2 linked regions of the Macaca fascicularis genome follow. The protein of the gene in region 2 interacts with the protein of the main gene of each other region in a pairwise test. Links are inferred from orthologs where the notes say so. Each region holds a gene or a part of one and is shown on either strand. Other genes may lie near its edges.

Region 1 (3,516 bases), on a different chromosome or scaffold from region 2:
GGCAGATAGTCCCTCGTTGGTATAATGGCTAGATATGGTTTTTCTGGGACTCTGGGGTGAGAGCGGTGTGAGCTGAGGAAACTGAGGCATCATTGTGGCCACACACGGTATGGGTTGATGGGGCCAGGGCTCCAGGGGTGGGTGGGCAGGAGACACCTGCCCTGACTGCCTGTTTCTGTCTAGCCTCGGTCCCCAGCCCTGCCTTGCCCCGAAGCCTGTCCCACTGGGAGATGAGTCGGGTGAGTCGCCATTGTTAAAATGTTCTTCCAAGGTTAGAGGAGGCAAAGGAAGGTGTGAGAACGGGGCTTTCTGGACCTGGTAGGGGTATTGGGGCATGGGGTCTGCCCACATGCTGCACTCCTGTATCCAAGGAAGGCCTTGTCAGGGAAGTTGAAGCAGCTGGGCCAGTCCTGGGTACGGGGGTGAAGAAAGCCCAGGTATTTCCTTCTTGTGGACCAGATGAGGTGGATGGAACACAGAGTTAGTCAGCCCTGGGGAGGTGTGGCACTTATTCAGCTGCCTGGTGCCTGGAAGTAAATATCATCAGAGAACAGCTCAAGGTGGAGAGGTCAAAGGGCCTCTAAGCCAGATAGAACTAAAGTGCAGGAAATCAAGGATCCAAAGAGCGGAGATCTGGAGAAACAGTAGTTCTAAAGACCCCGGTTAGGAGGTAAGCAGAGAACTTCCAGAATAGTTAGAGGGAAAAGGCCATGAGGGGACCCATAACTGAGTGACTGCTCTGGGGTGGCCAGAGGGGGATCAAGGTTCAGAGCAAGTCCCCAGGCACCAGTACCTTCCGTTGTCAGCAACAGTTTCACAGAGTGATGATGCTGTGATGTCTCTGGAGCATCCTGACCGTCCAGGGGTCTCAGGCCTGGGCTATAGGTTTGTCCTTGGTGGTGTGAAGGGACTTTGGGGCCCCCAGCCATTGGAGCGATTAGGGTAGAGAGGCAAAAGTGAGGTAGAGAGGCAAAAGGAGTGGTTGGGGTAGACAGGCAGAAGTGGCCTTTGCCCTGGGCTGGGTTTCTTGGAGGACTCTTGGTCGTAAGTGGTTGCTGGTGGGGCCGTCCTCAGAGCAGGAGACTTTGAGAGACCTCTGAGGCGTCCATGATACCAGGTGAAGGCTGAGACTAGAGGTTCATGTGCCCGAGGATGTGGAGTGCAGCTAAGAGCATGAACTCTGGAGCCAGACTAACCTGCAGGCCACTTCCTGCCTGTGGGATGCGGCCTGGTCACTTAAGCCCCCTGCGCTTCAGTCTCCTCATCTGTAAAACAAGGATTATACTAGTGCCTGTTTCAAAAGGTTGCTGTGAGGATGAAGTAAGCTAATATGTGTAGTGTGCCAGGCACATAGTAAGGGATATGTGGATATTTGTTGATCTTACTGTGTGGTGGTTGTTACTCCTCCCCCACACCCTGCCTCCCACCAGGCACAGGAGTCCGTGGGGTTCCTGGACCCAGCTCCTGCAGCCAACCCAGGACCCAGAAGAAGGGGGCGCTGGGCTCAGCCAGGTGTGGAGCTGAGCGTTCGATCCATGCTGGACCTACGGCAGCTGGAAACACTGGCTCCAAGCCCACGGGGCCCTAGCCAGGACTCGCTGGCCACCATCTCATCTGGTCCCAGGAAGCATGGGCAGCAGGCCCTTGAAACTTCACTCACTAGCCAGGTGAGCCCGCTTTCTCCCAGCTCTCCAGAGAGCTCCAAGGGGCCTTAGGCAGCCTTTGCCACCAGCTGGGACCTGAGCACTGGTCCAGCTATGCTTGCTCTGCCCCTGTGGCACATGGGTAACCTGAACTGCAAAGCCAGGATGAGGCTGGCTGGGCCGTATGGTTTGGTCATCAGGGTAGGCAGGGGAGGGGTTGGGGTAGAGAGGCAAAAGTGGCCTTTGTCCTGGGCTGGGTTTCTTGGAGGACTCTTGGTATTAAGTGGTAGCTGGAGGTTGGCGGCCCAGAGTGCTAATACAGTTCATCCAGAAGCTCACATCAGCAGCTGGAGCCCAGCCTGGCTTCTTGGTGTCTGTCCTTCAACTCCCCCTAGAATTAGTGCACAGCACATCTTTACTCACCTCCACCTCTTCTCCATGGGGAGGGTTGGCCCCCAGGATACTCAGGGCTTAACCACCAGCTACCACTGCCTCATCCGCCACCTCTTCTCACGCCAGCTGCTCTGGTAACGTCCCTTTGCCTGTTCCCAGAATGAAAAGTCCCCTCGGCCTCAGGCTTCCCAACCCTGTTCCTGTCCCCGTATTATCCGATTATTGTCACAAGAGGAAGGGGTCTTTGCCCAAGATCTGGAACCTGCACCCGTTGAAGATGGTATTGTCTACCCGGAGCCGAGTGACAGCCCCACCATGGATACCAGGTAAGGATCCTGCCCTGGCCAGACCTCGTGGGCTGTGCAGCACCCCCGTCTTCCCCTCCCTGTGAGTGTTCTTTAGTTGAGGGAGGGTTGGCCCCCAGGATACTCAGGGCTTTCCTTCTAGCTCACCACTGCCTCATCCCTCACCCTGATCACAGGCAAGAGTCCAGCAGGGCTGCTGCCCACCTCTGCTCACTGCCTTTTCTTCTCCCTGCTGGAATCCTGGCAGTGAGTTCCAGGTGCAGGCTCCAGCCCGGGGAACTCTGGGAAGAGTGTACCCAGGCAGCAGGAGCTCAGAAAAGCACAGCCCTGACAGTGCCTGCTCTGTGGACTACAGCAGCAGCTGCCTTTCCAGCCCCGAGCACCCCACTGAAGGTGAGGCTGCAGCCTGGAGGGAGGGGTCATGGTGGGTGGGGCCTGGAGGTGAGTGGGGAGGCTCTGGCAACAGATGGGTGCAGTGCAGTGCCTCTCTCCCCTCCCCACACCCAGACTCTGAGAGCACGGAGCCCCTCAGTGTGGATGGCATCTCTTCAGACCTTGAAGAGCCAGCTGAGGGTGATGAAGAAGAGGAGGAAGAGGAGGGAGGCATGGGCCCCTATGGGCTGCAGGAGGGCAGCCCCCGGACTCCAGACCAGGAGCAGTTTCTGAAACAGCACTTTGAGACTCTGGCCAATGGAGCTGCTCCAGGTGTGGTCAGAGGGCCAGCATTTAGTGCCTGCAATTTGCCCTTCTCCCCTCCTTGCTTACCTGAGAGGAGGGTCCCAGGGTATAGGCAGTGGCTGGGGGTCTCAGGGAGGCAAAATCTGTGTCAAGGGCTTGATTTCTGCCCCAATTCATGATTTCTCTGACCCTGGTAGGGGCCCCAGTGCAGGTGCCAGAGAGGTCAGAGTCTCGGAGCATCTCTTCACGATACCTGTTGCAAGTACAGACCCGCCCACTCAGGTACAGAGGCCCCTCCCCCCAGCAGCAGCTCCAGCTCTCCTGGCCTCCCAGGGCTGCTGCCCTCTCCTCCAGTGTTCTCTCTCCATGCCTGGGGTGTTTAGCACTCCCAGTTTTGGGCTAACTTGGCCTTTTCCCAGCCCTGTCTGGCTTTGTGCTTGTCCTTCTCTCCTAGTGCCCTGGTGCTATCAGTTTTTCGCCATTTTGGCAGGGAGGAG
Region 2 (4,177 bases):
CTTGTTCACTATTAATAGAAATGTAAAATGCTATAGTTGCTATGGAAAACAGTATGGCGGTTGCTCGAAAAATTAAAAACAGAATTGTCGTATGATACAGCAATTCCAATTCTGGGTGTATATCCAAAAGAATTGAATGCAGGGACTTGATCAGAAATTTCCATACCAATGCTCATAGCAACATTATTCACAATAGGCAAAAGGTAGATGCAACCCAAGTGTCCATCAACAAATGAATGGATAAACAAAATGTGGTATACACATACAATGGATTATTCAGTCTTAAAAAGGAAGAAAATTCTGACACATGCTGCAACACGGATGAACCTGGAAGACATTATACTAAGAGAAATAAACCAGTCACAAAAAGACAATTATTATATGATTCCACTTACATGAGGTACTGAGAGTAGTCAAATTTATAGAGACAGAAAGTAGAATGGTGGTTGACAAGCTGATCTCAAAATTCATAAGAATTTTAGGCCGGGCACGGTGGCTCAAGCCTGTAATCCCAGCACTTTGGGAGGCCGAGACGGGCGGATCATGAGGTCAGGAGATCGAGACCATCCTGGCTAACACGGTGAAACCCCGTCTCTACTAAAAAATACAAAAAACTAGCCGGGCGAAGTGGCGGGTGCCTGTAGTCCCAGCTACTTGGGAGGCTGAGGCAGGAGAATGGCGTGAACCCGAGAGGAGGAGCTTGCAGTGAGCTGAGATCCGGCCACTGCACTCCAGCCTGGGTGACAGAGCAAGACTCCGTCTCAAAAAAAAAAAAAAAAAAAAAGAATTTTAGAGGGCAAGGGGGAGTTGCTTAATGAGTACAGAGTTTCAGTTTTGCAAGATGAAAAGGGTTCTGGAGAATGGCTGCACAATGTGAACATACTTAACACAAGGGAACTATACACCTAAAAATGATTAAGACAGTAAATTGTATGTTATGTGTGTTTTACCACAATAAAAAACACAACGAGATAAGATAACACTTCAAACCCACTAAAATGACTATAACCAAAAAGACAAATAATGAAAAATGTCAGCAAGGAGGTGGAAAAACTGGATCCCTCTATCCCTCTTTTTTTTTTTTTTTTTTTTTGAGACGGAGTCTCGCTCTCTCGCCCAGGCTGGAGTTCTGTGGTGTGATCTCGGCTCACTGCAAGCTCCACCTCCCGGGTTCACACCATTCTCCTGCCTCAACCTCCCGAGTAGCTGGAACTACAGGCACCCGCCACCACACCCAGCTAATTTTTGTATTTTTAGTAGAGACGGGGTTTCACGGTGTTAGCCAGGATGGTCTTGATCTCCTGGCCTCGTGATCCGCCTGCCTTGGCCTCCCAAAGTGCTGGGATTACAGGCATGAGTCACCACCAACTGGATCCCTCTTATACTGCTAGTGGGAATGTAAAATGGTACAGCCATTTTGGAAAACAATCTGGTAGTTCATCAAAAGTTTAGAGTTATCACATGGCCCAGCAATTTCATTCTTAGGTACAAACCTAAGAAAAATAAAAACATAAAAATCTGTACATGAGTATTTATAGCAGGATTATTCATAATAGCCAAAAGGTGGAAGCAATGAAAACGTTCATCAATAGATGAATGCACAAACAAAATATGGTATAGCCATACAATGGGATATTATTCAGTCATAAAAATGTATGAAGTACAAATACATGCAACAACATGGATGAACTTTGAAAACATGGGGCTAAGTGAAAGCAGTCAGTAAACCACACATTGTATGATTTTATTTACATAAAATGTCCTCATTAGGCAAAACCATAGAGACCAAAAGTAGATTAGCGGTTACCTAGGGCTGAGGGTGAGGGAGGGAAGGGGATGGGAGGAAATGGAGAGTGTTTGTGAATGGGCGTGGTTTCTTTTTGAGGTGGTGAAAATATTCTAAAATTAACTAACCGTGGTGATAGGTGCACAACAACTCTGGGAAATACTAAAAACTATTGAATTGCATACTTGAAATGGGTGAATTGCATGGTATGTAAATTATATCTAAATAAAGGTATTTATATATACATAAACACATACATACATATATAGATACATATATATATAAAGAGGAAGAGAGATTTACAATAAACTTTCTTCTCACCTTTCCATATAAGTAATCACCAAAATGCAAGTATTTGCCCAAGGTAAATGTTCTCAAAAGTGTTTCAAGCCTCAAGACAATTTCCATATTAAGTAAGTAACAGACCTTCATTTAAACATTAGAAAATTACCCCCCAAAAAAGCACTTCTGAAGGCTTATAGTCAACTGAGTTCTCCACTACTGGGTGGCTCCACTACTTTGCTGCAAAGGGAAGGAAAAGAGAACTCGTGTGTGCCCAGGACCTTATGTATGTTATTTTGTTTACTATTCACAACAACACTTAGAGGTGGGTATTACTATTATCATTTAACAGATGAGAAAACTGAAGCCTGGAGAGGTTAATAAATATTAATAATATATAACATTACTAATAAATAATAAATGTTTAAACTTGAGCACATATTTTTCCATTGGTTTCTAAAATTTTTTTCCCCTAAATTAGGTGTGAACATCCAAAAATAGATTTTTATATGTTTAGCAAGGGTTAAGACTACTTTTTTATCTATATAATACATTGGTTAAAATGAAGAATTATCAAAACTTGTCATAAACAGAATTATTTTTATACTAACCTGAGCGTCTGTTATTTCAGCCATAGACTCCCTGTTGATATTTGCTATGTCTCTGAAGAGTCTATCAATTGCCTCTGGTATGTTAGGTGAATTATCACTTGCAACCAGGTTTTCAACAACTTCTGAAATAACAATGGATGATAAATGTGCTGTGAACTATTACCATTGGCTAAAAGTAGCAAATCATTTTTAAACCTATTCCTAAATCATTGGCCAAATGAATATAGCATGAAGGAACTTGATCCTTAGAGTAAAACCAAACTGGAGATTTAAAGTTTATTTAAGCAAGAGTATAATTTTCAAATAAAATTTGCATTCTTTGGGAGTCACTTGTTTATAACTTAATCATTATTCATTCTCAGAAAGGAAAATGCATTGACTTCACTAATAGTAAAGTTATTAGGTAATATTAAAAGTACAAAACAGGCCAAGCATGGTGGCACACATCTTTAGTCCTAGCTAGTCCAAAGGCTGAGTTGGGAGGATCACTTGAGTCCAGGAGTTCAAGAATACGGTGAGCTATGATCCTGCCACTGTACTCCATCCAGCAAGGGCTACAGAGTGAGACCCTTTCTCTAAAACAAACAAAAAAAACCCTACAAAACTGAACTTAACAGTGTCTTCAAAACTAGAAAATGTAGAAAATCTGAAAGATCTGGATATGTGCCCTGTAAAACTGAAAAACTTATTAATATTTTCAAGCATTAGACAGACATAGCAAACTGCTGGCTCTGAAGTCTTGACCTTACTTTGTGAGAAAAAAAAAAAATGACATGCTCAATTAGCAACAACATTAACCAGCTATTGAATCTGCACAAATGATGTCACCATTTTCTAAATGGTCTCAGCTCCAGACTCCACATAGCTGAATCTTACTAGGCCATGGAATTCCTTAAAACCCAAGCATTAGCTGTGCACAATGTTCCACGCCTGTAGTACCAACTACTCAGGTGGCTGTGGCAGGAGGATCCCTTGAGCCCAGGAGTTTGAAACAGGCTGGGCAACATAGCAAGACACCATTTAAAAAAAACAAAAAACAAAAACAAACAAAAAAAAACACTAAAACTAGGTCAGGCGCAGTGGCTCATGCTTGTAATCCCAGCACGTTGGGAGGCTGAGGCAGGCGGATCACTTCAGACCAGGAATTCGAGACCAGCCTAGTCAACATGGCAAAACCCCATCTCTATTAAAAATACAAAAATTAGCTGGGTGTGATGTGCTCGCCTGTAATCCCAGCTACTGGGGTGGCTGAGGCATAAGAATTGTTTGAGCCTGGAGGTTGAGGTTGTAGTTAGCTCAGATCGTGCCACTGAATTCCAGCCTGGACAACAGAGCAAGACTGTGTCTCAAAAAAAAAAAAAAAAAAAAAAAAAAAAACCCTAAAACTAAACAATAAGCATGATGTAGAATCTCAATTGATGCCTTTCATATTATCAAAAAAATTTTTTCAAACTCATGTGACATAAGTGTCCATAAGCTACATAGTTCTAATTTATTG

The links.
Region 1: the proteins of TEX11 (region 2) and MAPKBP1 interact in binary tests that used the Homo sapiens proteins (3 or more experiments, as listed by UniProt). The two-hybrid records come from large-scale screens. The link is inferred for Macaca fascicularis from reciprocal best matches to the Homo sapiens genes TEX11 and MAPKBP1.

The regions. Positions count from the first base shown.
Region 1 is NC_088381.1:18,410,496-18,414,011, forward strand, and holds part of MAPKBP1 (mitogen-activated protein kinase-binding protein 1), read left to right. Parts: intron 1-183; coding exon 184-239; intron 240-1,430; coding exon 1,431-1,667; intron 1,668-2,195; coding exon 2,196-2,361; coding exon of another isoform or gene 2,362-2,362; intron 2,363-2,575; coding exon 2,576-2,734; intron 2,735-2,848; coding exon 2,849-3,046; intron 3,047-3,216; coding exon 3,217-3,301; intron 3,302-3,516. UniProt on the Homo sapiens protein: Negative regulator of NOD2 function. It down-regulates NOD2-induced processes such as activation of NF-kappa-B signaling, IL8 secretion and antibacterial response. Involved in JNK signaling pathway.
Region 2 is NC_088395.1:77,572,366-77,576,542, forward strand, and holds the start of TEX11 (testis-expressed protein 11), read right to left. Parts: upstream 2,809-4,177; 5' UTR 2,704-2,808; coding exon 2,680-2,703; intron 1-2,679. UniProt on the Homo sapiens protein: Regulator of crossing-over during meiosis. Involved in initiation and/or maintenance of chromosome synapsis and formation of crossovers.